Linked DNA regions of Mus musculus. The protein of the gene in region 1 binds, or shares a complex with, the protein of each later gene. Links are inferred from orthologs where the notes say so. Each region holds a gene or a part of one and is shown on either strand. Other genes may lie near its edges.

The links.
Region 2: the proteins of Tapbpl (region 1) and Mr1 are in contact, whole or in part, in an NMR structure (PDB 7RNO), measured with the Homo sapiens proteins. The link is inferred for Mus musculus from reciprocal best matches to the Homo sapiens genes TAPBPL and MR1. Residues at the interface, in NP_060479.3 of Homo sapiens: His47, Arg48, Gly49, Ala50, Ala52, Ser53, Ser54, Leu129, Met131, Thr132, Glu133, Thr135, Arg228, Gln230, Lys232, Gly233, Arg234, Gly235, Thr280, Ile282, Gln293, Ile295, Gln297, Arg307, Leu308, Ser309, Ile320, Cys321, Asp322, Leu355; in NP_001372090.1 of Homo sapiens: Arg101, Arg104, His105, Asn107, Thr129, Gly130, Phe131, Leu132, Gln133, Ile143, Phe144, Asn145, Asp147, Thr148, Leu152, Ala153, Val154, His159, Thr160, Lys162, Gln163, Ala164, Ala167, Asn168, Gln169, His170, Thr213, Phe214, Pro215, Asp248.

Annotation. Positions count from the first base shown.
Region 1 is NC_000072.6:125,223,546-125,226,438, reverse strand, and holds the end of Tapbpl (tapasin-related protein precursor), read left to right. Parts: intron 1-1,488; coding exon 1,489-1,575; intron 1,576-1,729; coding exon 1,730-1,773; 3' UTR 1,774-2,234; downstream 2,235-2,893. UniProt on the Homo sapiens protein: Component of the antigen processing and presentation pathway, which binds to MHC class I coupled with beta2-microglobulin/B2M. Association between TAPBPR and MHC class I occurs in the absence of a functional peptide-loading complex (PLC).
Region 2 is NC_000067.6:155,143,843-155,148,388, forward strand, and holds the start of Mr1 (major histocompatibility complex class I-related gene protein isoform 1 precursor), read right to left. Parts: upstream 2,973-4,546; 5' UTR 2,845-2,972; coding exon 2,790-2,844; intron 1-2,789. UniProt on the Homo sapiens protein: Antigen-presenting molecule specialized in displaying microbial pyrimidine-based metabolites to alpha-beta T cell receptors (TCR) on innate-type mucosal-associated invariant T (MAIT) cells.

The DNA.
Region 1 (2,893 bases):
CTGCTTACAGGTCATCTTTGGCTGTGTGCTATTCTCATGCGTTTCCTCAGTTCCACCTTCTGCACACTCTTTATCTTATCTTTATCTTTCCCAGAGTGGCATCCTCTACCACTATGAATCCCCAGCCTCCAAATAATGAGATGAGTAAGCTTGGGCTGGGTATCAGAGGTAAAGGAGTGCTGCTCCTTCCCATAGGAGCTAGAGAGACAAATTGAGGCAGACAGGGAAAAAGACCCAAAACAGACCTTTGAGCCCAGCCCAAGTTCAGCAGGAAGCCCTTAAGACTGGAAGCACAGTCCATATGAAAACCAAACGACACAAGAGTCTACAGAAAACCTAGGGGCCTGAGGGTGTGTGCAAAAAAGGGCACGAGGCAATGATACTTAAGACGATTACATCTGCACACCCATATGACCAAGCATTGGAAAGTCAGCTTCTACACTAACTTTAATATTTTATGTGTTTGCGTGGTTTGCCTGCTGTAGTGCACCATGGGCAAGCAATGCCCATGGAGACCTGAAGAGGGCATCAGATCCCCTAGCACTGGAGGTACAGATGCTTGTCAGCCACTATGTGGCTGCTAAGACTGGAACCCAGGTCCTTTGCAAGAGCAACAAGAACTCTTGACTTCTTAGCCAACTCTCCACCCCCAATATACTCAAGAGCTTCTGAGGGTGATCTCACATATTACACCTCCCATTTATTTTTGGAAACCGGTCTTCCTGAGCAGGCTGGCCTCAAACTCCTCTGCCAAGCAGCCCTCCTACTCAGCCTCCCAAATAGCTGGGACTACAGACACCATCGCCATGTCCAGAATTCATCTTACAGATGAGTAAGCTGGCATTTGCAGACACTGAGCAGTTTGCCCCAGGTTCTCTACCAATATACAATAAAGGAGACACTATAACCAAAAGGCAAGCTGCAAGCCCTTACGTGTTTACACCCTATATCTACACACACTTCATCCCAAAGGCCACAGAATGCTGCAGTTTCAGGCAGGAAAGGATGTGCACCTCACAATGAAATATCCAAGAGCTCCAGACCTATTTGGTTGCTCGCTAGACTATGAGCTTCCCCAAAGCTTGCCTTTTGTTTTGGCTCACATCATTCCCCAGCTATTTGCTGGTAGTCACTGAGATAGCCTCATTCTCTTCTGTAAAACATTTTCAAATGTCCTGAGATAGAATAGGGTCTAGTGGGGTGTGCCTATAAACACAGCACTAGAAGGCTGTGGCAGGACTCCTAAGTTCAAAGCCAGCTTGGACATCATGAGGCCCTGTCTCAGAATAACAAAGCCCCGATGGAGTAAGAGGCAGAACAGCAACACACAAACTTGAGAGTCTTGAACAAGTGCAGTGCTGCTGCGTGGGCAGGCTCCCGTCCTTCCGTGAGGATTCACAGCACCCAGGCCAGAGCTCCCCTCCTAAGGGGAGGGGTACTGGAGGGTGAGGGCTCAGCATGTGGTCTTGTGTTCATTCTCACCCACAGAGCAGAGAGGAACCTTGGGAGTCATCTTTGCCAGCATCATCTTCCTTTCTGCGCTGTTGTTGTTTCTGGGACTTCACAGACAGCAAGGTGAGTTTGTAGATCAACCTACTCTCAGGTATCTGCCCACCCAAACCAGGGATGAAGTCCAGTGTGCTGAGTTCCAGATGTTTCTACCATACCCCCAACATCTGCTTTTGGAATTATCCCTATTGAAAACAATCTTGTTCCGTTTTTCTCTCAGCTTCTTCATCAAGGTCCACCAGGCCTATGAGGCATTCTGGGTAGCCGCCTGCCTGCCTCCGAATACAAAGTAAAGTACTCCACATCCTGGCTACTTAAAGGACCCCGTGTGAGGTGTGGGGCTGAGCTGGGCCTGAAGGTGCCAGCACATTGGGAGTGCAGTACTGGCCCTGGACTGTACAAGTCTCTGCTTTCTGTGCTATTGAGAAGAGAGCCCTGGGCTGATGAAAAGGGACAGGACAAGAGGATGGCAGAATTATCAAAGTGGAAGCTAACACCATCTATGTGAGGTATTAAGAAATCGGGGGTGGGGGCTGGTGAGATGGCTCAGTGGGTAAGAGCACCCGACTGCTCTTCCGAAGATCTGGAGTTCAAATCCCAGCAACCACATGGTGGCTCACAACCATCTGTAACGAGATCTGACTCCCTCTTCTGGAGTGTCTGAAGACAGCTACAGTGTACTTACATATAATAAATAAATAAATCTAATAAAAAAGAAAAAAAAAGAAATCGGGGGTGGGGGGACACACAGGGGAGGGTTACCTAAAAAGGGCTTTCCTTCTCAAAGGAGAAAGGGAAGGAGGAATGGGGGTGGGTCTTCATGCAGAGGTACTAGAAGGAGAGAGGGAACTGATATTGGAATGTAAAATGAGTAAATGAAAAAAAAGTCAGATGTAAAAAAATTCTCTTAGAAAAAGGATCAAAGTGAGGGAAGCGGGAGAGGCTGTGACCACTCATGAATGCCAACACTGTCAAAATAAAAACATGCTGTGACTACAGCGCACTTTCTTCTCTCTCTCCCTGTTGGTTCCAAAACATTCCTAGCTGCTCCAACTCCCAACTCGTTGTTTCAAGGTACGAAGCAGAGGCCCTGGGCTACATCTGCACCGTTACATCATCAGATATTAGGGTTCTGACCCTTCAGACAGCTGCCAGGAGTTTTGGGAGAGTTATACAACACTCCCTCAGCTGCACGAGAGCTTCCTTGTGCTCACTGCTATGAAATACCTTATGGATACAGTGCATCCGAGCCTATAAAGACCATGAATTATGATGTCTGTTATCAAAAGTAAAGTGGGGGGCTAGAGAGATAGCAACCCGTGGATAGGAGCGCTGGTAGATTTTCTACACAACCTGGATTTGGTTCCCAGAACCACATGGTAGC
Region 2 (4,546 bases), on another chromosome or scaffold:
TCTCTGTGCAGCTCTAGATGTCCTGGAACCCACTCTGTAGACCAGGGTGGTGTCGAACTCAGAAATTAGCCGGCCTCTGCCTCCCAAGTGCTGGGATTAAAGGCTTGTACCACCCTGGCTTGGCTCAAGGTTATTTCTAAGCAGATAATCTACAAGTACATCTTCTAACACTAACACAACTGGTTTGTCCATGATCAGTCCTAATCTCTGAAGCATCATTCATAAAGTAGATTGATGTAGCGGGCTGACTCATCTATTAAATTATGAATAACATCAAGAGACTAACTTTAACTATATCAAGATGAAACACACAAAGTATATAGAGCTATGCAAGGGAAATCTCATGTAGGATGTCCCATGTTACAGAGACATGCAGCATCACTTCAGCTTCACACCAGCTGAAATGAAGAGCAAGGAGCACAAAGCACCAATTTTTACATCAGTTCTGCAACTACAGTAGATCAGAGTTTGACATTTGAATTCATTATTGTTGTCCAAGCTTGCTATACTTCCTAGTCAGGTGACTTCAATGTCTTAGGAACATTACTTTGACACATAAAGTCTTTTAGGAAGCATTGAAGTGTCTGTTGGGAACAAGGTCACAAAACCAAGAGGAAAATGGAGCTGTCTCTTCCCACCAGTGAAAAGAGCAGCTAAGGGAAGATTTTGGGAAATGAGAAACCATGAAGAGGAAACGTGGGAACTCAAAGGAAGGAACAGACACAATCACCCGTGGGCTATGCTGCTGCTGAGAGCGACGTGCTGGACGTAATGTGAGAATTATCTTAACATTTCCTGGAGTTACGTCTCAAACACTCTGGTTTCTCTTCCCCGTGTCTGCTATCCACCTATGGTGCAAAAGTATCTATTTATGGGTAACACTGGAGACAAACATCATGTAGGCCTTTAGTTATTTCCCATAAATCTGAAATCCCTTCCCTGTCATTTTCCTCAAAGTTCATTTAGTGAGAACCATGGGAGGAAACAACCCTTACCAAAAAGGTCCCATGGAGAGACCATAAGGAAGTAACTATAATAAACCATGTTCACCCCTAAGATTACAGGGAAATGGGCAGCTAATAAGAATTGCTAAAGCCCAGCGGAAGCTAAAACTCTAAAGAAGAGGGATTTTCAGACAAAAGGAAAAACAACCTACACTGCAGAGAGCTACAGATAGCTACTGCCAGAGACTTCTAGAAAGAAGGAAGGAGGCAAGAAAAGCAAACTTCAATCTCTCTTTTCTCCTTGTTCTCTTCTCTTTTCCTAGCATTTCCTACCAAGTGAACCAACACAGAAGCTAGGACTGGGTGATGCAGTCTGTAGCCCTCGGCTTCTAGAACACAAAGCAACACAGCAGGAACACATCTAAGAGTCAGAGGAAAACAACCAGCATAGTGCAGCACCCCATCCTATAACTACCCACAAATTATCTATGTACGGGGTACTCGGAAGTTCAGCAGTATCACAGAAAGGCCTGGGCTAAAGGCAGAAGACCTGTGTTCACTTGTGATCACTGTGCCAGAGGGTTCTGCAATCTCCGTAAGCCAGAGAAACATCTAACCTGATCTTTATTGTTCTCTCTTCCTTCCTTCCTTCCTTCCTTCCTTCCTTCCTTCCTTCCTTCCTTCCTTCCTTCCTTCCTTCCTTCCTTCCTTCCTCCCTTCCTCCCTCCCTCCCTCCTTCCCTCCCTCCCTCCTTCCCTTCCTCTCTTTCTCGATCTCTTTCTTTCTTTCGACACTCAAACTGGCCTCAAACTCACCATTCCCCCCTAAGCCTTTAGAGTAGCTAGGACTGTAAGTTTGCATCACCATATCCATATCCAGTTGTTACATTCCTCCAATCAGCTGACACGTAGCAAGCTATCAATCAATACTTGTAGAACTAACACAGACACGATTTGAAAGAGTTCCTTCCTGGCATGAACATTAGTCAGCAGCTTGGGTGGCCTGATCGGAGTTCTGCAATTCTCCTGTGAACCTTTAAAAGCACTAACAGCCAGCTGGAAAGCAGTTGCTTAGGGTAGAGAAGGCTAGCACTTCCTGTCACACGGACTCTCCTGTGTTGGTGGCAACACAGGGCTCTTGATCCCTTAGAGACACAAGCTCCCTAAACTACGATGTTTATTCTAATTTTCACTTATTTTTACGTACTCTGGTGTTTTGCCTGCATGGATGTCTATGTGAAGATGTCAGATCCCCTGGAACTGGAATTACAGACAGTTGTGAGCTGCCCCGTGGGTTCCAGGAATTGAACTGGTGCACTCTGGAAGAACAGCCATTGCTCTTAACCGCTGAGACATCTCTCCAGCCCCAGAACTTTGTTTTAAATCCATGAATATTTCCTACACCTAGTAAACGAGCTCAGAGCCATGGCTTTATCTTTCATGCATCTTTTGTTACAGGATGTCCTTGTCCTGAGGAGGAAAAATTATCTATTGGCCTGAACGATGGACAGATTGGGTGGTTCAACTCCCCTGAAACTCTCCCTACACGCAGGTTCATTGTTAGAAAAGAAAAGAAGAGAAACAGAAGGGAAAGTAAGGGTATAGCAGAAAAGTGGGGACATAGCTCTCAGAGGAAAAGTGAGGCAGTCTTTCTGGGCAGGCTGGCATCCATGCACACACATCTGAACAGCAGGCCAGTTGGTCCATCACCCTTCAAGTCTTGGGTACAAAGGACCTGTGGGTTTGTCTCTGGCTTTTTTATAGTTTGCACCACAAGTTTAGAAAGCAAAGCCGTCGTTATGCTTCAGCATTGCATTTGGAAGCAAAGAGCACTCAGGATACTTACGAGTATGGCTTCGCTTCACCAAGAATACAGCGAGCAGAGGTAACAGGAGCATCATCAACCCGTGCTGAAGTCCTTTGCTTTTCCGATTTTTTTTTTTAACCTCAGACAGTGACAGACCCCTGATGAATCTTTTGAGAACTTGTACTCTACCGACTTACTTACACTTGGTAACTGAGCACTGTGGGGTGGGACAGGGGGAAGCATTCTCCAGTAAGAACTGGTAAATATATCTGGTGTCATTAGTTGCTAGGTAGAATAGAGACTTACAAAAATGAAAGCAATAAACATTAACCCCTTGTGGGTTTCAGACTCAGCTTGCTCCTGTCTTCTCTTCATCCAGTTCCCAACTGTAGCTCAATTACATGAAAGGTATAGGGAAGCAAAAATTAATGACATGGGTAATTTATTGCCTTTGGTTCTTTCTTGGAGTTTAGATTTTTAACCAAGGGACAAAGGAAATTGCACCCTGGGTTCTAAGATTTGGAACTCCCTGCTCAGTATGATTTTCCCATCCGTCTCAGATAGCATGTACCATTTAGAATGCCCTGTAATTTTTTTATTTATATCTGTCTTTCCTGTATTTTTTTTTTTTACCTAGAACAATAGACCCCAAACATCCCTGTTGAATCATGAAAAGAAAAGGCCTATGGGAGACTCTGAGGGGTCGCCACTCATCTTTCAAGGAAAGCAATCTCCAACCTATGGTCACATTGTTGTTAGAAGCACATGACAAGTTAGGAAACAGCAGCTGAGGCTGTTCAGGGAGCTGGGGAACAGGTCTAGACAGGAAAGAGGAAGTACAGGATAGAGAGAAGAATGGGGAAAAGGCAGGCTTTGGCTTGGGGTCAGGCACCATGCTTGATTTGACATGGTCAAATCTCTTTGACATGGGGCAGAATCACAGACTGCACCATGGCTGGACAGCTTCCCCTTTAAAAGAAATCTGTGTATTCCACAGGACTGTTGACTCAGTGAGGTTGTTTATTACGCAGGAAGAGGGGATAGGAGAATCAAACCCCTGGTTTCCTTCAGAGGTGAGTTGAGTGATGGCCCACTCTAAAAGCTCAGAACCCGTGAATACAACACACTTTATATGGCATAAGGGACTTTGCAGGTCCCGTTGATTTAAAGACGCAGAGATGGAGAGATGATCCTGGACCTGGCAGAACCAATCTAATCACGAGGGTCCCTATTTCAGGAAGGCAGAGGGTCAGAATCTGGGAAGGGTCTGTGACAGCAGATGCATTACTGAAGAGGGCATGAGCTAAGGAGTGCAGGAGGCCCCTGGACCTGGAATGAGAAGGTTACAGACCATACCCCAGAACCTCTAGAAAGAATGCATGTGTCAAAAGCTGGGTTTTTGTTTGTTTGTTTGTTTTGTTTTTGTTGTTGGTGGTGTTTTGTTTAGTCTTGTTTTGTTTTTTCACCATAAGACCTGTCTTCAGAACTGTGGCCTCCTAAATGATTGGAGAGAAAATATATATTGTTTGCAGCCACCTAATTTTTGCTTTCTATGAGAGTGGAAAACGTAGGCATGTCTTCCTTTCCCCACAAAAAGCTAAAAGAAATTATTTGATGGCCTCTTTTCAGATGCTTGCATCTCTTTTTTCCTTTCCTTCCTCTTTTGTTTTTTCCCTTGGCTATTCATCTAGCAAATATAGGTATCCATGTGCCCCTCACAGAGACCCCTGTTGCTGCTCCATGATGCTTGCACGCTGTGCCAATGTATTTGCTCCTTTGGGTTTTTGGATTTTTTT